4 linked regions of the Schizosaccharomyces pombe genome follow. The gene in region 3 interacts genetically with the main gene of each other region. Each region holds a gene or a part of one and is shown on either strand. Other genes may lie near its edges.

Region 1 (9,359 bases), on a different chromosome or scaffold from region 3:
CTCCGCTGCATGAACAGCGTTCCTTTAATGACCATTGCTTAACTGTCTTACATTTAGAACAAATCAAATCTTGCAGTTGATATAATGTCAATTGATGGTATAAGTTATCCACCAAAGTTTCCTCAAACACCCATCGATCGTAAACTAAGTTACAGCTGGAACAAGACCATCCGTCAGAAAACACCAAGGTCCCCATGTCATCGCGAGTAGGCCATAGATGCTCATGTAAACAAAGGTCAAAATCCTGATGGACGCCACACTGCTTACAGGGTATTTGATCAAGTGAAAGTCGACGACTAGGATATCGAAATACCGCCTGAGTGGAAAACTCTTGAATTTGTAAAAGTGACAATAAACTCTTTTTTAAAAAACGGACCTCCAAATTGAGATCATGGGAGAGTTCAAAAACAGCACAGATGCTTTTAACCAATTCTAGAGCGCCATCAGTATAGTTAAGAAAAGAACCTGGCAACTTTGGAAATTTAAGATCTTCTCTGGTATTTTCATCAAGCTGAAGCTCTTGAAAACATCTCCTTACTTGAGCAACTTTCCGTTTAAGAGGATGTATCAACTTACTTTTTAAAATTCCCGATCCAACTATTTCAGAGTCCTCATCAGCATTGTTGTTTTTCACGCGAACAAACCCAACTTTTGTATTAGACTTTTCTAATTTTTGCTTATAAACCTCTTCAATAAACTCAACAATCCAACTCTGAAATTCGGGCTGAATGATTGGAGGTAAATGACTTTTAATGTGCCATGAAACAACTGTCTGTGGTTCTTCATTTGTAGCTGAAAAATTTGCTGCCACCATTTTTCCTCCATAATTAACGGAATCCATCCATAAAAGATAATCCCAGTATTCCGTGACATTTAGATCCAAAAAGTGAAATAGTGGTAACGTCTTAATGGATTTGAGTAAATAATTTGAATAAGTGACAGCGTTCTGGACGATTAATTTGCTCGTTTTGATTAATATTTTATTAGCAGAAGCGTGTATGATATGTGCTCCAAGGCGTTTTATCTCAGAGAGAAGTTGTAAAAAAGTTTTTCTCATTATAACTTCCACGTGCGAGGAGAGTAAAGGACTGTACAGATAAGATTTTGATGAAGAAATCCATCGGGCTAAATGTTGAATTATAAGATCAGCGAGATTATTACCGGATGCAGCTTCGTTCCACCAAGTTTTAACCAACGCCTTCAACACCGGCAATGAATGTGTCAGTCCAATATTATCATGTATTCCCAACTTTTCCTCCAGATCATCATTTATGGCGGTCATGTAATTATCATTCAAAGCTGCCATGTCGCCAATACCTTCTATGTCATTTATGAGAGCAGAATTGAGAATGCTACAAAGTGCAAGGTTGGAAAGAGAAATGTCAACACAAGCATTTGAATAAGCACCAGGATTGTTAACTTCTAGTGGATCTTTGGGACTGGCAATCTGCAGAATACTATCCTTCTCAATACCACCTAAGTCTGGAGTTGGGCCTTTATTCCACCAAAGGATAATATTATGTTCTTTCAGCTTTCTAGAGTAAACAACATCGATACTGTACTGAATGTCATCGCTTTCAAAGTTGCATAATGGGATATCTGAGAAGCGAGAAAGTTGTATGCGATGGAAAAGCCAGCTACCAATAGCTAAGAAATGTTGGATCATTTTCGTAGCAATGTGTTGTTTCCAAGAAAGAGACTGTATGTTGCTCTCAAGCCGTGGTATCATTATATACGGAAGCTCTTCAATTTGCTTCACATTTGCCTTCAATATGTGAGGGAGTGAACTTTCAATAATAAGCAGACTATTTTTAGTTTTAGTTGAAAAATATTGAAGCAACTTTTCATCTATCAGTTTGTACGCTTTCCTTTCGTTTCCCGAGAAAATGACATTACACGAAAGAGTATCAGGGTATTCGATACTACTTTCCTTAATTAAATTATCAAATTTCGACCGTAGCTCTTCGTAAATTTTGCTGATTGATGGGAAAGACATATCACTACCTGGCAGTTTGTCATAAATTATGGCCTCAACTTTTTTTAAATGTGGCATAAAAAGTGAAAAAACAAACCTATTACTAATGGAAAAATGGAATGCATAAAGGTAGTTCATCTCTACTCCATCAAGATAGGAAACATCGTTATCACTTGGGTCAGTGAACATTTTAGATTCAAATCCAAATTCGAAGCCTTTACCTAACGCTCCAGGTACTGAATTATTAAACCTTTTTCTGGATCCCATTTCTAATATCAATCTTTCAATTGGTTCTATACGAGTCTCATATATTCCACTAACAGACGGATGGGCAAAAATCATAGAAATTGATACCTTTTCCGTTAAATAGCTCTTTTCTGGAATTTCAAGTAAAAAAAGCTTATCCGAAGTGCTTCCATGCGGTAATATCGCATTGCTTTTTTCAATTAAGCATCCCTCAATTTCAACATTCGGTAAAGTCTCATCTTTGAAACATACAAAAAACTTTCTATTCACAATGAACCGTATCGAGGTCAACCGATTACGAATAATTACCCAAGCATGTAAAATACCAGGAACATCGGTTTCTCGTATTTGTAAAATATGCCATAAATTTTCAAACATAACTTCAGCAGAAGATTGTAAAACATTGGTGAATTGCCTTGATTGAAACCCAATTAAATGTCTTCTTCGAAGCTTGACCTGCTTCTGATATTTCCACTTTTTCTTAGCATACTTAAGCCAATTCGAATATCCATCCATAAAGGATACAGGTTTTACTTCAAAAGATACAGGTGCTTCCGAGTTCCCAGATTGTTGTAAAAGTTTACGCTTGGTAACTCGAGCGACAATACGCTTATCTTTGTGAGTCACACTTCCTAAATCCTCAATATCAGTAACTTTTGTGTTGTTTATTGTGGATGGATTTGTAGGGGCTAAGGAGAAAATGGAATCGATCTTTTTCTGTTGGTATTTAGAATTCAAGACAGCAACTCGTTTTTGAAGCCAGTCCGGCAATGGAAAACGGGTAACGGGGTTTGAAATCCTTTGGAGAGCAGCAGGGATGCTAATTAGTTTTTGTACTACTGATCCTAGACGTTTCAAATAATAATCCCAATCAATAATGTCTCTAATATCAACATCATATAGACCATTATCTTTCAACCAGAGCCTAAGAAAATGTCGCTTAACAGATTCTTCAGCAAAGAAAATAGCTACCGGTACTGCCCTTTCTGCAACTGGCCTTCCTTTTGGACTTGCGGAAATAATAAAACGACATGCTAGACCTTTGTCTTTGGTCATTTGATCACCCAAAAAGTCAGCCAGTCGCCTGGCTGTAGTAATGGATGTCGATTTTTGGCTTCCGTATTCAGACAAAGCTTTAGACATACTACGATTCTCAGAAATCAGTTCAATTAATTCATCATCTGTTAGGTTAGAGCCTTTGGTGAATAGAATCTCTAACCAAGTGTCAGCAACATAGGCAACTTCTTGATAGCATTCCTCTAAAGAATCACCTTTCAAAAAAACTTTAAATATCTGAGATTGAAAATCCTTAATGAGCTTCAATTCTCCTCTTCTTTTCACCTCAAAGCCTTTAAGTTCAGCTAAACTACCATCGAAATTGAAAACGGCATAACGCTTTTTTAAGTTTTTACCTTCTTCCGTTGAAGCAGGCAAAATCATAGCTCTATAAGGACCATCAACCTCAAAAAAAATGCTGTTTTCACTAGTTGTTTCATACACCAATTTCTCTGGGTCCTTTAAGGCAGAATATTGATGATTGGTGAACTTTTCATGAACCAGGTGATTTAACATAACGCATGGATAAGAGATAAAAACCTTTCCTCCGGATTTCTTTTTAAATTCAAAGTTTTCAGGAAACGATTCTGGAAGAATACACCAAATACCATCTGTGTCAAGTTCCAATGGCCTACCTGCACGTTCAACTATTTGACGAGCCATCTGAATAATCGTAGCGCCTGTCAAACATGTGATACCAGCCATTTCAATCGAATACCAACGGGAGCCTTTTCGCATGACATATCCATAGAAAGAGTTTAAAATAACTTTGTGAGCTAACTGTAAAGAATCGTAGAGTACGACCATCTTTTTGGCCTCCTCTATTTCAGCAAGTCCTCCTTTTTCCTTTATAGCAGCAAGTTGTTTGACCCATTTTTTTTGCAATCCTTTAAAGTCATAACGGCGATCCCTAAAGCTTTTTACCGTATCAATATAAAATGAGTTTTCCTTTTGACAAATTATAGTTTCCCTTTCGATAACGGTATTATCATATAGACGGTGATACACTTTACGGCTGTAATCCGCAATGCGCTTTTGCACCATAGCAGCTTGTTCTGAGGGAGAAAGCTCTTGAAATGACCTAAAAGGTGAGAAAGGGGTAGGGCCTGGAAAACGCTCAGATTGTAAAGCAGAATATATCATATGATATTCACCTTTTTTAGCAGGGTAATACTCCCCTCTCCATGCCCATACCATCCGACGATCACATGTCTTATTGGGCACATTAAGATCGCATGTTGCACAAAACGATTCATCTTTTACTGAATCTGGCTGTAACCGGTTGGTAATCATAATATTTGGGTACATTGAGGCGACATCAAGATGGTAAATCCTTGGCTTCTCCGACCTTTTTGGTCGATCACGAAGGTCACTTAGTTTCTTTAATATGCTGTCTCTAACCTCTTCATAATTTTCGATTTCATCAACATTGACGTTGTTTTCAACTGTTAAAGAAAAATCTAAGGCTTTGTCCAACTGTAAAATTAGTTCTTCATAAACTTTTGGATCCATGTTGAAATTAGTCGGCAAGTCGCTTCTAAAAACACCACTTTCAAGACTTTCAACATGTCCTCCAACATAAGTCTCACTTGCAAGTAAATGACCGTCGAAAAATTTTTGACTAGCATCAACATGTTTATTCGGAAGAATAATATTTTTTGTACAAGCCTCAACAGTTAAAAGCGTTTCACACAACGTACCCGTGCCTTTACGTAAAACTTCATCAGGATTTAATGGGATAATGTTACAAAGAGAAAAAATGAAAGGATGCACATATTTCATGTAAAGAAAATAAGTAGCAACAGCATCTGAAACTGAATATTGAGCAAGAACTTGAGGTTTTTCACTTGCATAAGGAGTCATCAATTCTGGATCTAGTTCGATAGGATTATAACCTAATTTACTGACAGTGACAGCTTTGAGACCTTGACTTCCTTGAGGTAAATAACTATCTCTCTTTACCCACCGGAAGGCATCCATATGACTACAATAAGAAGACTTATATTCATCCTCTGCGTCCCTGAAGAAACCAGTTTCTTCTGTTAAATTCAATCCGTGAAATGCAGCACGTGCGTCTACAAATGGCCAGTCAAAGAAGTCACCATTGTATGTAACTATTACTGAAGGCTTTGCAGACCTTATATGTTTAAAGAATCGATGAAGTAGGCCAACTTCATCAGGCTCATTAAAAATAATAAATGGGCCCTCAAATTCCTCCCTCGGAGTATAATGAAAATCTTCAATATTCTGGGAAATAATTTCTCTATTGGTAATTAAAAATCCTTGGCCATCAATCATATAAGATATCATCATTATTTTATCGAACGAGCTATCAGGAAACTTCAATGGCAGCTTAGTGGTTTCAATATCAAAAGCCATTATAGTAGGTTCTGCACGCTCGATTCGGGAAGCTAAAAGGGATATTTGAACATGGCCTTCATGATATGAAACAGTATACCATTGTCCGACTCGAATATTCAAATCAATAAGTGTACGAGAATGATACGGAACATCGTACTCACGGATATCTAAAACATGATTTAAAGGATCTTCAAATGCGTTTTCTATAATCCCGTTTAAATTCTCCGAAGACAAGTTAGTGTATGCATCAACGGCATCTTGTTGGGAAGAATTAGCTTTCACAGCAGACATCAAAGACTTCCTGACAGCCTGAAGGTCATTCAGGTTATCAAAAACCAACTTTATATACAACTTTTGGTAACCCACTATGTGGTTTTTTAGCTGTAAATCTTCTTTAAAGATACGCGTAGTAGATTTAATTAAGCCCACAAATTTTTTTTTTAAATAATCGTCAACCAAAGCTTCTTTACCTTCTCGAGCAGCAATGTAGAAGTAAGGAGAGTATGGAATGGTACACCGGAAAGTGTCACCATCGTCTTGAATGAAGTAAAAGTCAACGGCACTGAGGGTAGAATTGCCTTTGGTGCTTTCGATTACTGTTGGATGAACGTTGAGAAGCCAAGCTTCTCGTGGTTGTCCACCTTCATAGCTATCAAAACCCATCATTCGATCAATCTCATTCTTTTTGTAGACAATTTTCATAGGATCATTGAAGCCAACTTCCTCGGTTGATTTTGCAAACGTCCTACCGTTCGATTTACTTTTTCCATTGTAGTTACCATTAAATTTCCTAAACTGATATTTGGATGCTCCTCGAGCTGTTTTTAAGGGCATAGCAATACAAAATAAATATTAAAAAAAGAAAGTAAAAAGAGACCGACAGTTTAGTAATTTCCGATTGTTACCAGAGAATTCTAAATTAATAAATGGAATAGTATTAAGAAGAAACTTCTTCTATTGTACAAACATTAGGTATCCTTTTAAATGTGATATAGTGGTTTGGATTAATACCGAGTTAAGAGGCAACAAATTGGTAAACAACAAGTCGCGTCGCGTCGACAACTTGCAAATTATTTTGGGTATCATGTTCCAGTTCAAAGCATTACAATTTATTTATTTTTGCCATAAAATAAAGACAAAGTACAAAAAAATACAAAATTTAGTATACATTAGCCTAATGATCGTGTGTTTCGACCGTAAGTAATTATTTCAAATCGATATTGCTTCCTTTAAGGATTGAATTTAAAGAAAAAAAAAAAAAAAAAAAAAGCAGTTTTCTTTTAGAGAAGCATGGTGACGCGGTTTCTGCTTTCAGTGATATAAATTGTCAAAGCTTGGTTATTTTGGCGAAATATACTATCATAAATGGAAAAGTTTATATTAATTCAAAGAAAAAAATATTGTCTGATTGCTGAAGTACAGGATTAAAGACCCCGCCATAGTAAAAAAACTTAGTAGTGCTTAATTCAATCAGTTTGATACCTTATATTTACCTCTATTCCACCATTAACTGAAAAAGCTTAAACGAATCAGTAACTATGAGTACACCAAATGAACCCGAAAAACCTGGGATTATTGACGCTTTCAAGGTAGAATTTATAGCTTAAAAAGGACTAGTTTGTTGTAAATGCAAGGAATGCTAATACTACTTGTAGTCATTGAAGATGAGTGATTTTGCTCACATGGTACACCATCCTTGTTTTAAGGAATCATTAATCACCAGTGTCGTCTGTGGTCTAGGTGTTGGTTGCATCCATTTGTTTCTTCGAGGTACGAAAAAAAACATTATGCTGGTTAATTGATGTCCGTCAAAAAAAATCGCATGTCTTTTAATTTTCGGACCAACTTTTTAAAACGGTGATTTCAATCCGTTGTTTAATAAGCGGTTTAAATTCTTGCCGACACATGCTAACAATATTCAAGCACCTATTTCTAGAGCTGCTAATTGGGGGTTCGGAACTTATTTTGGAATGAGCATCGTCTCTTGGGAAGGGTGTAATTACCGCAAGCAGCTTGAAACTAATAACTTCAACATTAAAATTACAGAAGCAGCAGAAAAGACCCCGAAGCATCGCTCTTCAAGGTCCGCTCAAGAAATTGATGAAGGTTTTAACGAGTAATTGCATTCATTTGATTCTTTAGGTTCTACTTATTCTTAAGCTCTTTTCATCCCTCTATTGCATGGTATGCTGAGTTTTTCATTTGATCGATTAACTCTTATTCAATTAATATTTTAAATTTGAGTTCATCGGAATGGTTTGTCATTTTTAAATGGTATTCATTGAAGAGTGTGAATTATCACCAAAGAATCCAATGTTGAATTTTTAACTGCCTCGAAGAATTCAATCTTTTTAGGGTGCCATTACAATGGGTGGAATACATACTCTTGGTATCTTGAACGTTGTATTAACAGCAAAAAAGTCTTAAAAATATACAGCATCCACATTTTCCCAATATTAACTAAACAATGGTAGACTTTTTGTTCGTTATTTACTTTATAAGTACTAGCTCATCTCAATCTTTCGTGCGTGTATGTTTACCCCTTTATCGTAAAGTCAGTCTACGACCTTGCGAGGGCATCGCATGATTTCAGCTAAAAACTTTCCAAAATAAAAGTAACAAGACCTTTATGGTGGTTTATTTCTACTAACTGGATGAATAAGCTATGTGATATTTTTGAATGTAAATATGTATTCTTTACGACAATTTTTGTACGATTGGCTAGAAAAAACATTAAAATCAAGTATTTGCAGTCCCATCGTCATTCTTGTTTATTATTTTTTAACAAAGTAGTTTAATCAGGGTAATTTCTTTATTTATAATTATCATCGATGAGATATACTGTTTTTAGGAGGAAAGTTAGTGGCACTTCAGTCGTTTATTAAATATTGTACTAGAAGGAATTGCATTCATTATAGCAACATTTATGTTAGTTATGTAGTCATAAACGATTATTTTAATTCAATTGAAAACTGTGAGTTTCCAGCAATATGGTGATGCTGCACTACGTAACTTTAGCTGTATCATTATTCACTTTATTTATTCGACTAATCTGTTGAATTACACTATTTTTATGTTCAAAATTAGATTCAATTTTATTAATTATATTAATGAATAGATTCAATTGAATATAGTCCTTCAGTTTAATTATGAGCTCTTTGATGTTTATTATATTATCAAAGTTTTAAAGGTAGCCGAGAATAATATTATAGGCAAATTTGTTACTTACTTTTCTTAACAGTTCTATGATAAATCGCAATTCAATGCTTAACGCAGCATTTAGGTTCGTTAAAGTACTTTAAAAATATTACGCATCTAATGACTATTTCATTTTAACAAACTGCTTTAGTTCCACAATAGTGTTATAAAACTTTAACGTGAATGATGTTTTAACGCTGTTTCTTACGTTATTATCGCACGCTATTAGAAGGAGTAAACAAAGTTCTCGTTCACCATACATTCAATACAGTTTATCATGAGTAGGTCATTTCGTAATGGATTCCGCTTGTTGAAGCTTTCTCAAATGGTATTGTTTAAATATTTATTATAAAGAAATTTTTTAACCTTCTTTTAAAGGATTTTGAACGGGCATGGTGGGATATGGCAAACTTGTTTCGCGCTCCACGTCGAGTTTATCGGTCCATTACCCTACGGGTATGTAAATGTGAAAGAAATTATAATTAAGATATCAAAAATATTACTCTTTATTTACTAACGCGTT
Region 2 (8,012 bases), on a different chromosome or scaffold from region 3:
TTGCAAATAAGAACTAGTAGTTTGCGCTAAACAACGAAACACTATGAACGCGCAAGCATCGATGAAATTAGGAGTGTCTTTTTCCAATTGAACATTCAGACACTTTTCTTTAATCAATAAGGTCCTAGACTTCATAAATACACCTTGTCCCTCCTTTTCATGGCCTAAAGAGCGTAAATAACGAACTATTTCTTTCCCGTGGGAAAGACTGATTCCTTTAAATCCAAGTTGATGAAGTAAAATTTCCGTCACCTTTCGCTTTCTATTGTGAAGTTTATCTGCAAAAAATTCGGCAAACAACTCGTTTAGATTACCACGCTCTAGCTTATTTTGTATCAAAGCCAAATTTCTAATAGCATCCGTAAACTCTTGTAAGCTAATTTGTATGTCGAGATGATCAAATTGCATAGATATTTCCTTTACCATGTTTCTCTGTTTGGCATAAGCCTGAAGGATGTCCTGAGTATCCAGATTTTTACAAAGGACTTGAAAGGATGTATACGAACACATATCGGCTTGTTCCGATTTAGTATGATATTCTAGTTCACGACTAAATTCGAGATCTTCATCATGCTTTCTAGACCAATTTTCTAGTTCTTGAAGCTGGTGATGGCGAGCCTGACGAACCATATAATCCCTTTCTTCACTATTGTGTACTGCCAACAATGTGGTCTTATTGTTATGGTTAATTGACAGTTTGTATAGAGAGACCTCTTTCTCCTTCTGCAGCATTTCAGCACCTGCTGGTCCATAAGTTTCAATTGAAGAAATAGAAATTTCGGTTAAATTCCAATTATACAAAACCTGCTGCTTAGCAGGGAAATCAACTTCTTTCATGTGAGAAGTAGTAACCAACAGTCTATCATTAAACAGAAGCATATTGACAAGAAGCTTAGGTCTCTGATTGTCAATATTGATTAACATCCAATTGTATTGCTCACATATAAGCTGTCTTTGAGGCGCTTCCCAGAATGCTTCATCTAGCCCTTCAATGGATGATCGTAGTCTCTGTACCGTTTGTTTTATTGATTCGTCGGAAGGGTCATGCGTATGGTCGACCAAGTTTAATCCTTCAATGTCAGTCTCCAGGGTTTTCAACAGAGACTGAAACTTTTTAAAATCTGAAGTCATGCTCTCAACCTCCCCTGATATAAATACATATTCATTCAAATTTTTGTAAAAATTCTTTTCCAAATTTTTACGGACGCCCATGTGAATGCGTAGAAGCTTATTGTATAAAGACACAAATTCATCTTCACTAAGGTCCTGTAAAACATCGTTTAAATCTTTTTTGCAAAATTAGTTTCCAATAGACATAATTACACATACAGCTTTGAGCATCAAAATTTTGATTATCGAAAAATTTAGGCTGTAAAAAAACTTCATTTTGTGAAATGATATGTTTTGTTTGCCGTTTTTGTCGATAAATATCATCTGTTTTAGAGGTACCGACTCGTAATCGCGTCGGTGACTTTTAAAAAGCAGTTTTAGTAATAGGTTGTTTTTATTTAACTTCAGTACATACCTGTCTTTGGCTTTCATTTGGTATGGACTCCGAAGCAACACTTAAATGATTAGATTTCCTAACAAAAAATTAGCTCAAACACCCGATATTCTCTAGCTGCGTACATGAATTCATCTTCAAAAGAAGATGGATTGTCAGGCATTTTTTTTTCAAGTTTCTGATAGAAGAATAAATATTATGTATCTAAAGGATGTTAAATTGAATGCTTCACATTTGAAATAAGTTTAACAATTTACCAATTAAAATAAGGGAATGAAGAACCTATTTGTGGTATTTACAAATAGGAATAATAAATTAATTTATCCTTGAGCAATTGCTCTATTTTTAAAAATCTATTAAGTTGTTTGCTTTGCCGAAGTAGTTGGACGTGTTTGTAAAATCAAGCGCTGACGAGGGGTTTGGAATATCAGGGCTGCACTTAATTTTGAAACGAGTAAAGCTACGTAGCTCAAATTATATACCATGCTTAAAAAATAAATTTATAGTAAATATCAGCTAGATATTATAACACGATATTGAACATGAATTAAGGTGCATGATATCAGTCGTTTAACTGATGGAAGTTTCCTAACAATTTTTTATTCCTTGGTGAAAAAACTACCTCAATATCTGCTTTGGATTGAAAACTGAAATTCAACTTGCCGGTTCATATAGGATGAATATGTATTCTTAGTATTTTGATTCTACTTCCCTATACGTAAAGGAGCCTTCACTTAACTTTATTCCACCGTGCTACAAACTTCCTTCAAGAGCAATTCATAGATATTGATACTATAACGGTCAATTAAATTAAAAAGGCACACATATACATGTATGTATAAGTGGATAAATAGGAACATTATAATCTTTTTTATATAAATCGAAGGTTTTTCGTATCTAACGAATTTATAGCCAGCTGAAAGGAATCTTCTATGATAAAAGACCACTTCGCAGAGCGAGGCTGCTGATACTGCATAAAGGCGCTATGAGATTTAGTGTTTTATTTTTACAAAAGGTTCCAAATTGATTTGTTGTCAGGGTTATAATTAAATCCAGATTTTGTATGGCAATGTAAAGCAATGGCAGTTTCGTTAAATGACTTTATAAGTGTTAAATTAAAACGTTATTCTCGTGAGTCACCCTGGGAAAGACTTAGAGTCCCATATAGAAACAAAAAGCAAAAGAAATGGGCTTCCGTTCACAATAATGAAGCTCAGTTGCACTCGGCTAATAAACGAAATGATAATTGTCTAATCCAAAGAAGTAGTACTTGGAGATTGGGGGATATGATTACACTTGTCATAAAAGATATTCCAGTTACTTGGCTTTCAAATGAGGGAGGAAAACTATACAACTTGTGGGAACCCCTTCATGATTACGGTACAATAGAATTCATGAAGATTAATGAACCTTTGAATGGACAGACAAGTACTACTGCAATAGTCCAATTTGCTCCTCCTCCCAAAGTTCCATTCTGGGAACCAAATGGGAAAATAAATGTCAAAGGTGTTGATCTAGCTGTTCAAATTGACATAACAGCACATCGTTCCCACATCAGCCGACAAGTTTTCTCTAAGAATAGTTTTAGAAGCGATCAGCTAGTAAAAATCCCGTTATCCTCCTTTAAGCTCGGGCAAGTTTATGATGAAAGAATTGTCCCACTGTTTGGTGTTGATTGTGGAATAACTGTAACTGAATCAAACTTACTTGTATATTTTAATTTCAAAAAGCTCTGTGTTCTCTTTGATGCTTCTTTTGACAAACAGATCGAAACCTTTCGTCTGGACTTCGATTTTCATTCCATAATAGGCGATGTAGGGACGGATTATTACGATGATCATATTTCCCTCGTATTTAGATTTAGATTTTCTCCACTAATTTTCAGAAAATCTAAAAATGCAACTGAATCCAGAGTTCAAACTTTCTGGACTGCATCTCATCTTTGGAGACGACATTATGATATTCTACCTTTCAATGTTTCACCAACGACTGCTAGTCCTATAGAGCTACTTAATTGCCATAACGCCCCCATTGGACGCTGCAATGTTTTAGTCCTTAGCTTTTCCATAAGGGATGAGTCTGATAAAGATGACATTGCCTTTCTTTTACACAACTTGGAAAAATTCAATTTGAAAAGTCAACTTGATAAAGTGGTTTTCCATCTTGTCCCAGACTACAAACATCGCTGTAGTCTAATAAATGATAAAGAAATTGAGGAAGAGATTGCTTATCTTTTGCAGGCTTGCCTTTCTAAAAACTTATTATCAGAAATTGATTTGCCCATTATATTGGCGAATTTAAAGAAATTATCGAAAGAGAGAGCAAAAAAATTCCTAAGACTAATTCTAACGTCCAAAACCGCTTTAATAAATCCTTCTGAGCTAGATTTTACTAAGTCTTTTGTCTTTTACGATTTATCTTCCGCTTCTTCTATTCACATTAAAAAATTGTACGTTACACCTACTACTCTTCGAATAGTTGAAGACTCATTAGAAGCAGGAAATCGTGTTATAAGAAATTTTAAGGACTTTGCAAACCGTTTTATGCGTGTGCAAATAACTGATGAATACTATAAGCAAAAAATTCGAGGCGGTTCTGATGGGTTTAGAAATGAAAAATTGTATTCTCGCATCCAACAATTATTAACCTACGGAATTAAAGTTGGTAATCAAATTTACGAATTTTTAGCTTTTGGAAATTCTCAATTAAGAGAGCATGGTGCTTACTTTTTTGCTTCGGGATCTGATCTAAATGCCAAACAGATCAGGGAATGGATGGGTGACTTTAGTGAAATCAATTCAGTATCTAAGTATGCAGCAAGGATGGGACAATGCTTTTCAACGACAAAGGAAATTAATCGATTTTGTGTTGACATATCCCTTCAGGATGATATTGTTCGTAACAACCACTGCTTTACTGATGGGGTTGGAATGGCATCATTATCTGTAATTCGAAGACTTTCTTTGGAAGTAAAAAATCATGATATGTTTCCCTCTGCGTTTCAATTTCGTATGGGTGGTTATAAAGGCGTTTTATCTTTAGCTCCTCCGACTAAGCTTGAATACCATCAAGGAAATCTTGTGTTTCCACGCCGTAGTCAAGATAAATTTAAATCATTCCATAGTACCTTGGAAGTTATTAAAATATCTCGATTTTCAAATGCCCATCTGAATATGCAACTGATCACCTTATTGGAAGGACTCGGGGTTGAAAAAACCGTATTTTTGGAATTGACTAGAAGTCAGTTGTCAAAAATGAACGAATCGATAAACAGCAAACAAAAATCCATTTTAATGTTACGGGACAACGTAGATGAATATCACTCTACTTTAATTATTGCTGATTTTATCCAGGCCGGTTTCCTTGAAAGAGATGATGCTTTCACCGAGAATTTATTAAATCTATATTATGAATGGGTTCTTAGGTTAATTAAGGAAAAACAAAAAGTTAGTGTTCCAAAGGGTGCCTATTTACTTGGTGTAGCTGATGAAACTGGAACACTAAAGGGTCATTATGATGATGCTGTTTTGTCAGTACCTGAAATTTTCATCCAAATTACCGACACTTCTACCAGTTTTGGTTCATATTCAACTGGAAAGCTGAAAACAAGGGTTATAGTTGGATTGTGTATTGTTGCAAGGAATCCCTCGCTTCATCCAGGTGACGTACGTGTCTGTAAAGCTGTCAGATGCGATGAGCTTATGCATTTAAAAAATGTGATAGTGTTTCCGACAACGGGTGATCGAAGCATTCCTGCTATGTGCTCTGGTGGTGATCTGGATGGGGATGAGTACACAGTTATATGGGATCAACGTCTTCTTCCTAAAATTGTTAATTATCCCCCATTGCTTGAATCATCTCCCAAGAAGTCTATAGATTTTTTGGAAGGAAAGCCACTTATCGATTCGGTAAAAGAATTTTTTGTGAATTATATAAAATATGATTCGCTAGGTCTAATTTCAAATGCTTGGAAGGCATGGGCCCATGACCATGATAATAATCCGGAAGGGATATTTGGAAATGTGTGTTTAGAACTTGCAGAAATGCATTCAAAAGCTGTAGATTTTGCTAAATCGGGAGTAGCTTGTAAAATGCAAGCCAAATACCATCCCAAACGATATCCTGACTTCATGCAAAAAACAAAAACTCGTTCTTTTCGTTCCGAAACCGCGGTTGGCAAAATTTTCAGATACGCTGCACGATTCCAAAGAGAAAGTGGCAGACCTGCAACTTATAATCCGATAATGAATACTGTTTATGATCCTTGTATGAAACTTCCAAGGTTTAAAACTGAATATCTGAATGTAGCTGAAGAAGTGAAGAAACACTATGATAATGACCTGAGATCAATTATGGCTCGTTTTGATATTTCCACAGAATATGAAGTTTACACAGCTTTTATCCTTTTTAAAGATGATTTAGCTAAAACCGTAAATGAATATGGTCTTAGGGAGGAAGTTAGCTTTCAGTTCGACCTTCTAAAGAAAAAATACACTCAAGAGTACTTAGAGAAATGCGCTTTATCAAATCAATCGGCATTTGATTCTTCGGAATATGAAGAACGGATAAACAGTGCGGTTGCTGCCACTTACGATGTGACATACGATCAACGTGTCAAATCTGTTGGCAATGGCACTACTGAGGTATTGATTTCATTTCCATATTTATTTTCTAGTCGTCTTTGTCAGCTTTCACGAAAAGCCATGCTTACTGCTAATAATTTTTAAATCGAATATACATTCGAAGCTTTAATTGCTCGTAAAAGGCTAATAGTAATTGTACTCATTATCGACAATGGAACATAGAACAGCAAAACAGGTAGCTAGAGTTAACATTTAACAAGACTGTTGTATGTTTCTGCTGAAGGAAAAGAGTTGTCATAATTTTTACACATATACTCGATGGTTAAAGCAATTTAATCGTAATAATGTATAATTAACGATTTTTATATCTGCCAAGCTTAATCTAATTTTCACCATTAATTTAAGTAGAATAATTATAAAATTTTGTAACACGAAACAAACCAAAACTGTAAAGAAACTACGGCATGTGAACTCCAATTCAGCTTCTCCGGGCAAGATAAATGCTTTAACCAACCCATTTTCTAGCAGATTGGAAAAGACGGATCCAAGGACCATGAACGCCCCACTCGCTAGCTTTCGAATGAGGGTAATAACTGTTTGCAACTTTCAAAACTACACGTTCAGGGTGAGGCATCATAGCTAAAAAGCGACCACAAGGGGAGCGAACACCAGCTATAGCATCTCTGCTTCCATTAGGGTTGAATGGATAACGGCTAGTACGCTCGTTGTAGTTGTTAACGTAGTATATCAAATCCAAACCTTCCTTCTTAAATTGTTCGTAATCGGACTCTGAATCGAAAACAGCTCTACCTTCTCCATGGGCAACGACCACGGGTAAACTAGATCCAGCCATACTTTCAGTGAAAATGGATTTTGAACCACTTGTTTCATCGATCTTTAACATAACTGCACGACCTTCGTATTGCGCTGACTCATTAAATGTAAACATAGGCCAGCTTTTAGCTCCTGGAATAAGTGATTTCAGACGACTGAACAGTTGACATCCATTACAAATACCCAAACCAAATGTGTCTTTACGCTCGTTAAAGAAACGGTAAAACTCATTACGAGCATCTTCGTGAAGAAGGATGGAAGTAGCCCATCCATTGCCAGATCCTAAAACATCACCATAAGAAAACCCACCACAAGCAGCAATACCGACAAAATCATCCAAATGAACTCTACCGCTGAGGATATCAGTCATGTGAACATCCACGGCAGTAAAACCGGATGCATAAAAAGCATATGCCATTTCCAAATAACCATTTACGCCTTGTTCACGAAGAATTGCTACTTTGGGACGACTAGTTAAAGCCAAATCAGCGGTAACTGACACATTTGGATCAAATGTAAGGTGGTATCCTAAACCAGGATCATTATTATCGGCAATATTTTCCATTTCCTGTCGTGCACATTCAGGATTGTCACGAATTTCTTGCATTTTATAAGAGGTTTCATGCCAAATTCCGTGTAATTTAGAGCGAGTTGATTTGAAGATTATTTTACCAGAACGGCTAAAAGATATTGTTTGAGCCTGGCCGGAAAGTACTTTACCGATGCGATGAACACAAGTACTCAAACCATTAGCAGCAAATAACTCCAATACCTTGGCAATGTCACGATCACAAACTTGAATTACAGCGCCTAATTCTTCATTGAACAAAGCCGCAATATTATCGGATGACAAAGAATCTAACTCACATTCAATACCAACATGACCGGCAAAAGCCATTTCACTAAGAGTAACAAACAAACCTCCGTCAGACTTATCATGATAAGCCTGAATGTAGTTGGTTTTATGCAGTTGAGTAATAACGTTAATGAAATTCTTGAAAGTGTCTAAATTATCAAGATCCGGCACCTCATCACCCAACTGCTTATAGGACTGAGCAAGTATAGAACCGCCTAAACGTTGTTTTCCATTT
Region 3 (8,324 bases):
TTATCGATCAAGATTTAATGGTTAATAAAATGCTTTCATGTTTACAAGAAAATAAAACTATATGTGATTGGTTCATAAACGCGTTTGTAATGTAGATGGTTGTCAATATGTTTTTGATTAGCGTAAAACCTATCAATTGTTGTAACGTAAACTGTTGATTTTGGGTCTACTAATAAGTGACATAGAAGAATTTAATTATTTTCAACGAACTTTGCTACTGTTTGTTGAATCCACGACTATAAATCACCTTCCATCATAAATGTTCCCTCTACTAAGCAGTAATTCATTTTTTAAACGGGAAGTCAAGCTGAAAAATATCACTAAAATAAGGAGTATGCATATTTCAAATATTTGACAATTGCCAAGTTCAATGAGTAAGTACTTTTTCTTAAATAGCCAACTCTTACATGTCAAAAATGGAAGCCTTGAAATGCAAGGCCAGAAAAATAATTACGTTTTAAAGCCCAATTCTACTAAATGATTGCTAATACAGTAGAATATACTTAAACGAAAAGATTCTGAAATTCCATCATTGACTCATACTCTATATACACAATTAATTACCAGCCTATTAACTTTAGTTTTTAGCTCATCAACTTCAACATTACTAATTATTCTTTATTTAAATTTAATGTAAACGGTCGATTACTCAAACCAATTTAATACTATTCTTTGTCTATTTGCCTAAATATTTTATACATGTCACGTTTTTGATCACCACCATTCTAAACCCATACTATACTTGACTCTACAGAATGCTGTCAAAACGGGGATTAAATCCCGTTCAAGCGGAGAGCAGAAAGAAGAAAAAAAGAGAACAAATTAAAGTGCGAGAAGAAAGAGCAAAACGCCATGAAGAACGACTGTCGCATAGGAATATGAGCCAAATGGAACGCCAATTATCAGAGCTGACACAATTAGAATCTTCGCAAGCTTTAAATGCACATGACAAGCAATTATTACAAAATTTGCAAAGAGATATGGCAATTATGAAGAAGAAAAACATTCATGGACATAGAGTTGGGCGTGTTGAGTCAGACAAGACTAAGGAGGCAGAACGTCAACATAAACCTAGAAAGCCTTTTATCCCTAAAAACCCAAAACGAAGTATATATTATGATCCAATATTTAATCCTTACGGAGTTCCGCCGCCAGGAATGCCTTATCGTGAGAAGGAAGAACTAAGTTCAGAAACAGATGAATCCGTTATTGATATACCTTTACCTTCTGAAGAATATCCTTTTGAGGATCCAAAGCCAAGGGAAAAGAAAAATAAGAGCTTTAAGCCAAAGCACCACAAAAAGCAAGACATAAATGCAAGTTCAGCACAACCAAAATCCACTACTACGACAGAAGCTGCTGCAAATACGAAGGACATTGAAGAGGAAACTATGATTGAGTACTCAGCTCAGCCGGTAGTCAGAGATTTACGACAAGAAGCTGCTCAATTTTTACCTGCTGCGTTTCAACGACAAAAACTAGCCAAGGGGCAGAAAATTGGACAGCCAGACAGGGATGTATCGAGCCAAGTTCAGGAAGACAAGGATGAAGAAATAGATAATTTCTACAAAGAAATTGGCGGATATCTATAAAAAAGTCGTTAAAATTATGGAGATTGGAAGTAAGGATTACCAAATGGGTGTAGACGGAATTTTTAGTTAATAAACATGCATATTAATTTATATATAATATCTGTTTACTAGGTTCAATTTTAAAGGAGCTTGATTGCATCTCTGTACTTGTTTTTTTGTTTTATTCAATTATGAGTGAGCTTTCATAAGTTAATTCAAAGGCTTATTATTATGATGCGGTCAATAATTTCAAATTTTTGATGTCCAAAAAAAACAAAGGAGATTTTGTTTCTGTGTTATTGCATGATATTTATTAATGTTTTCTTGGTTCAATAATTCCTTATTATAGTCACTTTTACACTGCTTGAGCGAAAGGGGATTTCAAAAAAACACCTTATATTCATCTTTCCGTGATTATTTCAAGTTGACTGTTTTTTGTGAATTTGTCTTTTGCTAAATTATGATTGTTACACTTAGTCCTACACTGTTCATTACGAATCAGATTACCAAAAAGAAAGAAGTACATGACTAATTACTTGGATTAATTTTATTTTATTTTCATATGTATTTAGACGCCATGACAGTATTTACATGCGTAAACCAACGAATTCGTTTATCAAATAAAAATATCATAAAGGAAACCTTTAAAAATCGAAATACACATGCTTAAGTTAAAATTTGCACAATGAGAGATGAGGGAGTACTTATCTATCTTTTGCTTGCTTTTCTTGGGTTCATAATCTTTGGTTTTCGCTATAAATGCTGTATGAGACTAGGAAGCTTTTGCAGTCAATCATTCTATTATTTATAAAAACAAATAAGTTATTTATTGATTAAAAACTCGTGATACTTTTTTTTGCTATAAAATGATTTATTTACATATAATTACAAGGCACTCGCACGACCTCGTTATGTGCGAGGAGCCATGAAATTGAATCCATTGATATTAAAATTAGCCAAAATGCCATTTCTTAAGAATGGGTAAAGTCCTGTTAGAGCTGCATTCAGTACCATGGAATGAAGAAGGTTTGAGTGATAATGCTCGACTTTATTCATTTTTGGAGTTCGTAAGCCCGAAAATCGAGGAATTGAAGTACAGAAAGCTTTTGTTAGAGAAACTACAGACTCACATTAGGGAGGTCGTTTTGGATGCTGAACTTCAAGTATACGGTAGCATGTATATTGGAACAACATTATCTATAAGTGATGTAGACGTATCTTTGAAGTCACCTCGAGTTGGAGAATTGGAGAAACGACGCGTCACCATGGTTTTAAGAAAGTACTTGGATGCTGATGCTGATTTCCATTCTAGTGCCAGAGTCCCTCGCATCAATTTAGTAGATGTTAGTGGAATTGGGGTGGATTTGACGTTTGGAAATGACAAAGCTTGCAGAACTGCTGAATTGCAAAAAGCTTATAACGAAGAACACCCAATTTTTGGTAGATTGCTGATGCTATTGAAGCACTGGTTGTTTGAAAGAGATTTGGAAAACGTTCATCATGGCGGGATTGCAAGTTGCGCGCTCTCTTATATGCTAATTGGTTGGCTTGAAATGCGATTTCACAAAAAGGGAATTGATTCGGAAGTGCAACCAATTCGAGCTTTACTACAGAAATTCTTCTATTTTTGGGGAGTCGAATGGACATACGAACTTTTTGTATTGAGACCTTTAACCGGTCAAATAGTTCCTAAGCTACAAAAGGGCTGGTTAAACGAAGTGCAACCAAATTTGCTATCTATTGAAGATCCAATTGACAGAAATAACGACATTGGAAAGCAATCATTTCAAATTAGTATGATTAAAGCTGCATTTGTTGCTTCAGCTAATGAATTATTATCCGATAAGACATGGTTTAGCACCTTTGCAATTACGGAAGATGAAATGTTTTTGTGTAAACAGTTTGAAAATGTTATAAATACTAAACGAAGTTTGGTGGAGGGATATGATAGTGATACGGAATCAGATGAATTACAAGCTGGCGGATAACTGCGGGTTAATGCATTTAAAAAATAATGCTCGCTGTTTAAATAAACATTTGTTTTTCAATTCCTAAGTTGTCTTGCCGCATGTGGTAATGTTTCACTACAGTTCGTATGTACTTTACTCTTGTTTAATTGAATGGATTCATATTCTTATTATTGATAGGATATAAGAATCCTACAATTATCTTAGTCATTTTCAAGTCTTTTAATTTTACTTAGGCAAGGTTCGGCTGTTTCAAATGATATCACATTTTGTACCTATTGAAGGTGCTAACAAAATCTGTTCTTTAAAAATTTCAAAATTAAATCTATTTTATTCTTTTAAAATCTATCCAAGGATCCATGTTAGATTTTCAAGTCAATTTAATAATTGCATTTCACTTAGATTAATAAATGTGTGTGCAATCTATAGCTTTTTCGAAAGAAGGACGCTATCTTCTGTTTTGGAGCTCTCATCAATAATGAATCCCCGATGAATAAACCATTCGGATACATCGAGTTTAGGGCTTAATTTAATGTAAATTTCTTTGGCTTTTCCCTCAGCTGCAGTCTCGCAAGCATATTCCAACAGCTTGGTACCAATAGAACGGTTTCGATAGGCTGGCAAAACTGCCAAAGATAAAATTTGGATTTTGTGCGATTTATTATGTGTTTCTTTTTTGCATCTAACAGCTCCTACGCAGACCTGGTTAAAGTACGCATATTGTGCTAAAGGCCCGACTGAGATTGTGTCTTTGTAAAAGGAGGTTGGAAATATAATGATTTCAGGATCAAAACACTTTTCGTTAATAACTTCAAGGATTTTCAGATTATTAGGGTTAATCGCATCAAGTTCAATCATCTTTTTTATGCAAATGCAAATATCTTTTTCTATATGTACTTGGTGTTGTCAACTTTCAGTCTTTAAGGCATTCTAATGCAATAGTTTGAGTTGGAAACATCCACGATAAAATCTTTAAACAGTACGCTGCATTTCATTAATCCCGTTGTCACATGAATGTGAAGGTATTGTAGATGCTGGTCGCATAGGAGAAGCGTTAACAAGGCTGAAGACATCGTCATTTCCATCTTCCTTTGTGTCTACGTTTCCTTCTTTCTTTGTGGTAGAGGGCTCTTCAAAATTTGATTCTTGTGGGATAATCTCTTCGGTGGATAGCTTTTCACTTGCAGAAACCGCAGGATTCTCAAAGTCAATATGAAGTTGTCTTTGATATTCATCTATTAATCTTCTAAGCCAAGGGACTGTGTAGCTAATGGCTGGCCATGCTGTACCTAGCATAGTAATGAAGTTCCAAAGGCTCCACAGGGCCATAAATGAAAATACCAGCCCTTGTATAATGATAAGAATGATTGCAATGATCACTTTCGGAATGATTGCTAAATCAAATGCTATCGGTATGAGAAGAGCAAAGGAAACCACTCGGGTGAGAGCAACCAAAAAGACGCAAAAGGAATTTTTGAAACCAACAAAAGGCCGAAACACTGCTAGCAATATAAAAGAGATGATTTCAATAACAAATAGAAGTATAGTTTGAATCTTCGCAAACTGTTGTACTAACGCTAAAACCAATGCAAAACTAAAATAATGTGCAAAGCAGGCGTAAACATAGAGCCATCGCCGTTCTTTTAAATCCAAATATAACCATCCCCACCATGTGTATATTTTTGGATCGCTTATCAATGTTTCTGGATTGTCCTCGTTACTCAAGCCTGACGTTGTTATCACTCTTATGACTTTGATAGTTAACCAAAGGAAAAGCCCAAAAAGCAGTGCCAGAAGCAAAGCCGCCAATATTACAGGGCCATATGCTTCCCTAAGTGTAAACTGGTAAATTATCATAGTTACCAATACAGGCCAACAAACCAACACCTATATCAACCAGATTAGTATAAGTATAAAGCAAAAAAGTCGTTAAGAGCTATGTATGAACAACTCATTCCTTTGTTCAATTAACTTACCCATCTCATACAAGCATTAAAAAGTACTCTAAACCAATACCTTGTGATATAATCGCATGAAGATTTTGCGATTATACGTGTCTGACGAAGAAACTTAATAATAAGTACGAATATTATAACGATTCCTCCTGCTATGGCCAAAGAAATCAAAAACCATATTAAAGTGAGTGTAAATAAATTCGTTGTTAGCGTTCCAACTTCGGTGGCTAGGCCTTGAAACCCATGGTAAAATCCAGGAATCGGGCTTTGAGGGTTTGTTGCAACAGCATCTCTTCGATGGACTCCACCTATCTTTGGAGAACTTAGGTTTCCATTGGAATGCTTTCTAAAAGACTCAAGGCTGTTTTCTATCTCTTTATTGGTAATAAATCCTAGAATCCATGCAAAATTACTAGCCCATGCGACTAGCACTTTTGGCTGTGTAATTCCAATTGCTCCCGTGAAAGCTATACATTGAAGTAGCTCTCCCATGTGCTGCAAAGAAGGAACGGAATTGATGAAAACCTGACGTGTCAGATAGGTGCTATGCTCCATTCCAATTACATAAAAGCCTAAGACGCCTGCTATACTCAATGCCAAAGCAGTTCCACTTAGAGCTTTTACGACTTTATTTTTAAACGTATGACCATTATTAAGTGTCGCGATCATGCACGCAAGTGGTGTAGAATTATCGATGGATGACGCTGCGATGTCTTCTGAGCGATACATGCGAAAACGCACTAAGCCTTCAAAATCAGGAATTCCCCAGGCAATTTTTGGGATCATCTGAACATCTTGAGGGCTCACTGGAAGTATTCCCTGTGTGGTTATAGCTGTATCTCTTGCAACTGGGCACACAGTATTAAGATTTATTTCACAAGGGTCGAAAGTAAATCTTGCCCTCTGCTCTCCATAAGCTTCAACTATAATATCAAACGTAACATTTGCGTCCACAGATGAATATCCAAGAATATTAAAGACTACTGACAAGTTTCGTGTATAATAACTTGCATCAAACCGATTAAACACTATCGGGGCATTTGACATGCATTCTGCGTACTCGGCTGTTCCAAGTTTGTGATTTGGTCTCTTACTATATCTTACTCGACCTTCCACTGACGATAAGATATTACTTAAAACTGCAAAGTAAGCTAAGAGTATTAGCTTCATTTTCATTTTCCATTAACATCCCCCTTCCAGTTATGTAGAGGGTTTAACTTTGGAACGAATGCAAAAAAAATTAAAATGAACTTTCCTCAGAATTACCAAACTATCACGAATAACAAAAACATGCTACTGAACTCAAATGCCGTAATTTGACTGTAATGTTTACGAAATAGCAGTCGTATTTTTTAACAACCATAGCATTGAGTTAAATACAAGGATTAAATAAATAGTAATGAAACGATTGAAGCTTTAAGATTTTTACGAAAAAGAATACAGAACGTGGCTTCGTTTATTTAGTTACCACCATCTTAGCATTGTTCTTACGCTCACAATTTTACACTATGAAAAAAGCAATATAATGGTAAAGAATGTATCATTAGTAAAGAATAAAAAAAAGAAATGCATTTTCATTTCATTTGTAGTTGTGAGAAGAAATGATGGAATGTGCGAGCCTCACTTGATTTTATGTCATTATGTTTTGGACCTCAATTAGTAATAAAATTATTCTGTTGAAGTCATTTCTGAAGGCGTTTCTTGATTTTTCGCTTGTAATTCGTTGAGTTGCTCCATTAAAAGATTTCGAAAAGGAGTCAGCAGCTTCTCTTTAGTTCTATTTAATTTCATTCCACAATTTGGAAGTTGTGGCTGCGGTACTCCATGAGCTGTAGTGGGTGTAATAATTGCGGACCCAAAGAAGTTATAAAGATGTAAAAGCCATTCACTAGTACTATCTTTATTCTCAATAGCCTTCTTGCTTTCTTCATCAAGTTCCTTCACATAATCACCAATTTCTTCCAAAACTTGATGTTTTGTCTCTTCATCCAAGGTATTTAAAGCTTTATGGGCAACATCTACCGCATCAGGAGTCTTCACCTCAACACTAAATTGTTTTAAACAATGGCGATACCAGTCGCACCACTCTCCACAAAGATCGGGCGCATTCACAACAAGTCGGTGAATGAAACGGACAAAGCAGCTTTGATAACGTTCAACAAGATTGATGAACTTTACTAAGGGAGCACCGGCCTTTGAAAGCTGAATAACATCCCATAAGAAATACTGAAAGTCATAAATAGCTTGTGAAAAATCGGCAGCTTGATGTGCTTCGTAAATGATATTATAAAACGCATTCATAAATTCTCTTACAACATCATTCAGTTGATCGTTGTCACATAGATCGTGGATTAAACATTCGCGATCACGATGTGTTAAAGCGGCATCAAAATATCTCATGGCAATATGGACACCTTTCTCGGAATAAGGATCGAAATGAAAGTCTTCAATCTCGGAATGCTCGGTTTCAGATGCAGTGTCGGGTACTTCATCTTCATTGCCTTGGACAGACGAGGCCTTATCGGAGTCTTCCTTATCAACTCCTTCAGTCTCGGTAGTTTCAGTTTGCTGTGCTTCGTACGCCTCTAAAATTGCGATAGTAATGTTCAGTTCCTTATTGATGCTTTGAGAACGAACATCATCTTGTTCAGTACGCGAAAGTTGAGTGAACCATTGCAAGGCTTTACGCATCGTCTCCCATTTTGCATCGTCTTCAAATTCTGCATCTGTCTCAACCATAGTGCTCTCACTGTGCTCGAGATCGGCATTAAAAATACCGGCCAACATTGTTTGTAGCAGATTGCGACTTTCGCCAAACCAGGAAAGCGGTT
Region 4 (5,710 bases), on a different chromosome or scaffold from region 3:
TAGGTGTTTTTGCAAATCCAAAGCCAGGATCCAGTATAATATTGTATCGATGAACGCCGGACTGAACCGCAGCTTCCACGCGAGACGACAACTCGACAGCAACTTCTTCAACGATATCTTTTTCATATATTGAAAGTGCTTTCATAGTTTCTGGTGTCCCTCTCATATGCATAATACAAATGGGCACCTGTAAACTTGCAGCTAATGGTAACATTTTCTCATCACCCATCCCTCCAGTCACATCATTAATAATATTAGCACCTGCCTCAATGGCTAGTTTTGCAACTTTTGAATAATAAGTATCGATACTGATGGGTACTGTAATCCCTGAGCTTCGAAGTAAACTAATCATAGGTATTACTCTTCTGAGTTCTTCCTCAACAGACACGGGATCAGCTCCAGGTTTAGTAGACTGCCCACCTATATCTAGGATAGAAGCACCATCTCCAACCATACTTTTTGCTTTTTCAAGGATATTATTCTGCGAGACTTTACCACCATCAGAAAACGAGTCGGGGGTCACGTTCAAAATTCCCATTGTTAAGGCGCCATTAATGATTTTTTTGTTGTCAAAAGATGAGTACAATCTTATTCCTTGTGAAGGCAATTTATCAAGAGCTTCTTGTAAGGGCTGATGGGTATAAGGGTGTACTAAGTCTGGGCTCAAGGCCAGCAATGGACGTAAAACAAACTCACGTTCTTGCAGCCCTAAATGGGGAATAGTCAAAACTTCTGATTCATAAACACAATCTTCGTACAAGACAATATCGAGATCTATACACCTTGGTCCTTTTAAAATTGTTTTGATTCGACCCATTTCTTGTTCAATGGATTGACAAGCTCTTAAAAGATTGATAGGCGACATTCTGGTTTCAATTTTGCAAACACCGTTCAAAAAAGAAGGTTGGTCTTTATAATACATCGGCTCTGTTTCGTACAAAGGGGAAACATCCAACACACGAATACCCTCTATTTTATGCAACATAGATAATGCTGTTTGGATTTGCTCAAATTTGTCACCAATATTTGAACCAAAAGACAAATAAGCAATTTTGTTCTTAGTGGATTCGTATTTATGCAGAGACTCTTGTAAAAAGTACGACCGTGTTCGATAAATTTGCACCGCAGAAGCATTGGCGAATGTGATAGCACTAGGTTTCTCAGCTTTAATGCTTATATCGTCTAGATTCTTTGTAAAACAAAGATACTTTGAAAGATTGACAACCAAAGCTTCTATAGTCAGGAAAGCAGATTGTTCGACATATTCGGCGATTGCGCGCGCGATCTCTAAAGCTTCGACCTCCGTATTTGCAAATGATATATTTAAGCAAACTCTTTGCTTCTCTTGTCGTTCAAATGCGTGAATTCCTAATATCGTAGCTAACTCCAAATCCGAGAATTCAATACGATCTACAAAGTTACTGGTAGAATTGCGTTCGCGCTCAGCATAATAGTGCAATCCATTTTTAGACCTTAAAACACATTTGGGTAAAGTAAGCTTAATAGAAACATGCGAGGTATCAATAACGTCTTCAAAACATAAACTTGCAATTTTATTGACCAAATCTTTAGGGGTTGTAAAAAAAGACCCTTCAATTTCTTTTCGTAATAGCTTAGAAGCTATACCGTAATGAATCGTTGATTTTAACTCGTCTTTTTCTCCAGCTAACTGAACATTGTTTCTCATATATACATCAATTTGCACTGGCTGAGGTTCCTTTCTTTTCCATTGGTCTTGACCCACTACAGCAAATGTGTTAAGATTTTCAACTACGACAGTGTCATGTATCAAGTCCATTTGTCTAGTAGGATGTCGTAGAGATGAGAAGCGGAGTTGTCTGGGGATAGTGCTGACTATTCTAGGTATTTTGGCAAAACCATGGAGAGAATTATTTCTAATGAATGGATAGATTCCCCAAAGGTTTACTAAACTTTTCATGAGAGTTTAAAGAATTGATTATCTATATTGGAAGTATTTGCTGAAGCGACCAACACCATGATAAGTAAGAATAAGCAATACCTACGGTATCCTGATGTCAATTATCTAAAATGAAGGCATATGGGATAAAGAATTGTAGCATTATTTGACTGTTATTAAATTTAATTCATTATTGAATACAGCTGGGAATATGTATATACTCTGATCATTTCTATGGAGCATAGAGCGATACTGAGAAATAATATTATAAGAGATTTGTCAGATGACTACATTAATGTGCTACAAATCATTATACCCGAAAATAGAAATAAGGGAGAATCAAGTTTGATTAAATATAAAACATTCCAACAACTTTGTGAAACTCAACCTTACGCTATCAGCTTAAAAGCAGAAGGAAATTAGTAGAGAAAAAAAATCAAATTGCCATGTTCAAAATTAATAAAATTTGAAAAACATTCTACTAAAAAATGCCGTAAATTACTAAATCAATTTCTGTCAGCGTTGATGAAGTAACTTCCCATTCAATTTTAAATCTTTCATTAGCATACTTCTATGAACTGGATAGCAGCAGTAATTGAACATGCGATGTCAATATTTAGATTTTAAATATTTTACATATTGTAAATGTAGTTAAGCATGTATACTCCATTAATGAAAATGTAATCTTTCATACATATTTCGTCTGCGCTGGCTTCAGTACTTAGCCTACCTTAGGATTGTTCCCACTAATTTTCAATTTCGTTGATTTTACACACTGCTTCTTATTCTCGTAAATACCACTTTCCTAAGGAATACTTAGCGGAAAAAGAAATTTCTAAAAAAATGGAGGAATGGAGAAACTTCTTAGATATTAAAGTTATCAATGAATCTTCACTTGTAAGATATGAAATTTCAACAAGAATTTGAATGTCTAACTGTATAAAAGGTAACTGTAGATAATTTAAGTCTGCAATTGGATATATCCAGTGAAAAAGCACAAGAGTAAGGAACAATACGCATTATTTTTTATTTTTATTATTAATAATTCATACTTTCAGATATCTTAATATGTTTTATCAAGGCAACGATTTTTTGTATCCTATATACCTTATTCATGGACAACCTATAGATGATGAAATTAATTTGGAAATTGACGAGGAATCTCAACCTATATCTAATTTTCCTGTTTTGCAATACATTTTGTGTGATAAGTCTTCTCTACAAGGTTTGTTATTGTCAATTCCGATCATTCGATAGCAGATTCGCTAACTATTTGTAGAGAAACAAAGTAGATTGAAAAGTGGGTATAAAACTGTTATATTTGCTCTTTCATCTGCTCCATTAAGTGTAAGTATTCGATAAGCTGTATTTTATATTGTTACAAACTAATTGATTTAATTAAGGATTTTGACGAATTATTACCTGCAGTATATGAAATAAGAGAGAAAGATGTTTTATACAAAAAAGAAGATGCTGATAAGTATGGATTTATTTTCAATGAAAATTCCGTGGTAAGTAATTTATATCACAACAATCGTTGTTTGACATTCGATCCTTCCGTCTTCGGAAGACTAACTTATTGTAGCCTCGTGTTTTGAAAAAGGCACCTTCAACTCATTCCCCCCAATTATCTGTTCCCTCAAAGACATCGACAATCGATAAGACTGACACACGTAGTACAGAAAAGACTAAAGGGAAAGATATTTTCAGTAATGCAAGGAACCAAAAGGGAAACTCATCTCGTAAAAATAAAAAAGCTCCTCTTGAAAATCATAAAGAAAAGGAGCCTCTCTTGCCAAAGGAGGAGAAGTTGTCTGAGCAAGCAAAGAGAGAGCGCGATGATCTGAAAAATATTATGCAGCTAGAAGATGAATCAGTATCTACCACTAGCGTTCACGATTCTGAAGATGATAATTTAGATTCTAATAATTTCCAATTGGAAATTGGTACCGAAGCAAAATCTGCTGCACCTGACGAACCTCAGGAAATTATCAAATCCGTATCCGGTGGAAAGAGACGTGGGAAAAGAAAAGTTAAAAAGTACGCGACAACGAAAGATGAAGAAGGATTCTTGGTTACTAAGGAAGAAGAAGTCTGGGAATCATTTTCTGAAGATGAAAACATCTCAACTGGTACTTCAAATGTTGTTAGAAACAAACCGACTACTGTAAACATTGCAACTAAGAAGAAGAATACTGCACAAAGTAAACCACAACAAAAGTCTATTATGTCCTTTTTTGGAAAGAAATAAGTTACTATTCATTTTCGATAGTATTAAAACATGTGTTCACGAAGTCCCTTCAATTCTCATGCAAGCTATTATCAGGAGTTTTATTCATATAGAAAAACTGTTAATGTTAGTACAACCTTTAATCCTAATCTACTGTTTTTAGTTTTGTTTACACTATTCACAACCAACTATGTAAGTCTAAGAGAAGTCGAAATCAATTATCAATACATCTTTTAATTTTAAATATCATAAATAAATATGTTTCCTCAAAGCATAGAAGAATCGATTCTTTTTTTTATTAGAAGTATTAAATACTCCATACATTAATGAACCACAATGCGTTAATGTGCGTTAACTACAACACATAATTTGAAAGTTGAACTTCATATTTAGTCAAAGCCTTGTATATTGGAAGTAGTCATGGGCAAAAAGCAGACGAAGCCTATTAATGCTAAATCAAGGAGTGAAAGCAACGTAGTTGCGGATCCTAGATTTCAATCAGTTCACTCTGATCCTAGATTTTCTAGACTTAAACGTGGCAATTTTAAAGTAAAAGTTGATGAGCGGTTTAAATCTCTCAAGGAGGATAAGGACTTTAAAACTACTGCCAGTGTTGATCGATATGGCCGTCCTCTCAACCAAGATAAGGCTACTAAAGAGATTGATAGACTGTATGAACTGGAAAATGAAGGGTCGTCCAGTTCGTCTGAATCATCGGAAATTACTGACAACGAAGAAGTCGCTTCAGCGTCTTCGAAATCCACAAAATCGGAAGAATTAACCGATGAGGAGTCCGAAGATGAGGAAGTATATGATCCAGCTCGTGGTGAGGGAATTATTAGTACTTCGGAAAGTAGCGATGAAAGCGACGCTGAAAGTGAAACTGAAGCTCAACCGGAGATATCCGAATTAGCTGGAATCGAGCCAGAAGAGAATATTCCTCGTGGTTCAGAAACTAACCGTCTTGCTGTAGTAAACATGGATTGGGATAATCTTCAAGCAGTTGATCTTTTTGTTGCTCTTTCTTCTTTTTGTCCTCCTGGTGGGAAGTTACTGAAAGTGTCGATTTATCCCAGTGAATTTGGAAAATCCAGAATGGCTGCGGAACATGTTCAGGGTCCTCCACGTGATATATTTACTCCAGCTGACAATCAACCTTCTAGCGCCGAATTGCATGAGGCTCAAAAATTTGGTTTTGATAACAATGAGTCTGATCAAGATGAGGAAGATGCTTTAATAGAGGAGGATTTAGGCAACGAGTTTGATATGGTAAAATTACGCCAGTATCAATTAGAAAGGCTTCGTTACTATTACGCAGTAGTGGAATGTGATAGTGTAAGAACGGCAAAGGTTATATACGAAACTTGTGATGGCGCTGAGTATGAAACTAGCGCTAATATTTACGATTTAAGATTCATTCCAGATGATGTTACATTTGACGACGATGAATCTCGCGAAGTATGTACTAAAGCGCCCGAAAAATATGAGCCGAGAGATTTTGTCACCGATGCATTGCAACATTCAAAAGTTAAACTTTCGTGGGATGCTGAGGATCCACACAG

Evidence for each region.
Region 1: mutations in cid12 (region 3) and cdc20 impair growth when combined (synthetic growth defect), as found in Schizosaccharomyces pombe (one study listed by BioGRID).
Region 2: of cid12 (region 3) and rdp1, extra expression of one rescues a mutant of the other (dosage rescue), as found in Schizosaccharomyces pombe (2 studies listed by BioGRID, with this or other methods).
Region 4: mutations in cid12 (region 3) and cdc27 impair growth when combined (synthetic growth defect), as found in Schizosaccharomyces pombe (one study listed by BioGRID).

Annotation. Positions count from the first base shown.
Region 1 is NC_003423.3:3,251,002-3,260,360, reverse strand, and holds the start of cdc20 (DNA polymerase epsilon catalytic subunit Pol2), read right to left. Parts: upstream 6,640-9,359; 5' UTR 6,473-6,639; coding exon 1-6,472. Other genes in the region: respiratory chain complex IV assembly protein Cox20, read left to right, coding at 7,177-7,227, 7,294-7,408, 7,562-7,758; mug16 (UNC-50 family protein, implicated in vesicle-mediated transport), read left to right, coding at 9,114-9,164, 9,215-9,292. UniProt on the Schizosaccharomyces pombe protein: DNA polymerase II participates in chromosomal DNA replication.
Region 2 is NC_003424.3:1,322,670-1,330,681, forward strand, and holds rdp1 (RNA-directed RNA polymerase (RDRC) Rdp1), read left to right. Parts: upstream 1-2,271; 5' UTR 2,272-2,336; exon of another isoform or gene 2,337-2,416; 5' UTR 2,417-2,583; coding exon 2,584-6,231; 3' UTR 6,232-6,392; downstream 6,393-8,012. Other genes in the region: exo8 (exocyst complex subunit Exo84), read right to left, coding at 1-1,286, 1,330-1,471, 1,526-1,583, 1,630-1,667; phosphoribosylformylglycinamidine synthase Ade3, read right to left, coding at 6,593-8,012.
Region 3 is NC_003421.2:1,653,121-1,661,444, forward strand, and holds cid12 (poly(A) polymerase Cid12), read left to right. Parts: upstream 1-2,525; 5' UTR 2,526-2,548; coding exon 2,549-3,559; 3' UTR 3,560-3,961; coding exon of another isoform or gene 3,962-4,396; 3' UTR 4,397-4,510; coding exon of another isoform or gene 4,511-5,425; 3' UTR 5,426-5,514; coding exon of another isoform or gene 5,515-6,663; 3' UTR 6,664-6,960; downstream 6,961-8,324. Other genes in the region: splicing-associated factor Saf1, read left to right, coding at 756-1,592; NatA N-acetyltransferase subunit Naa50, read right to left, coding at 3,962-4,396; trp663 (TRP-like ion channel protein), read right to left, coding at 4,511-5,425, 5,515-6,663; SPOM_SPCC663.15C (uncharacterized protein), read right to left, coding at 7,162-8,324. UniProt on the Schizosaccharomyces pombe protein: Has a role in the RNA interference (RNAi) pathway which is important for heterochromatin formation and accurate chromosome segregation.
Region 4 is NC_003423.3:1,060,429-1,066,138, reverse strand, and holds cdc27 (DNA polymerase delta subunit Cdc27), read left to right. Parts: upstream 1-2,714; 5' UTR 2,715-2,761; coding exon 2,762-2,815; intron 2,816-2,864; coding exon 2,865-2,920; intron 2,921-2,976; coding exon 2,977-3,143; exon of another isoform or gene 3,144-3,197; coding exon 3,198-3,265; exon of another isoform or gene 3,266-3,321; coding exon 3,322-3,429; exon of another isoform or gene 3,430-3,503; coding exon 3,504-4,169; 3' UTR 4,170-4,421; downstream 4,422-5,710. Other genes in the region: fol1 (dihydropteroate synthase), read right to left, coding at 1-1,939; pre-rRNA processing protein Esf1, read left to right, coding at 4,569-5,710.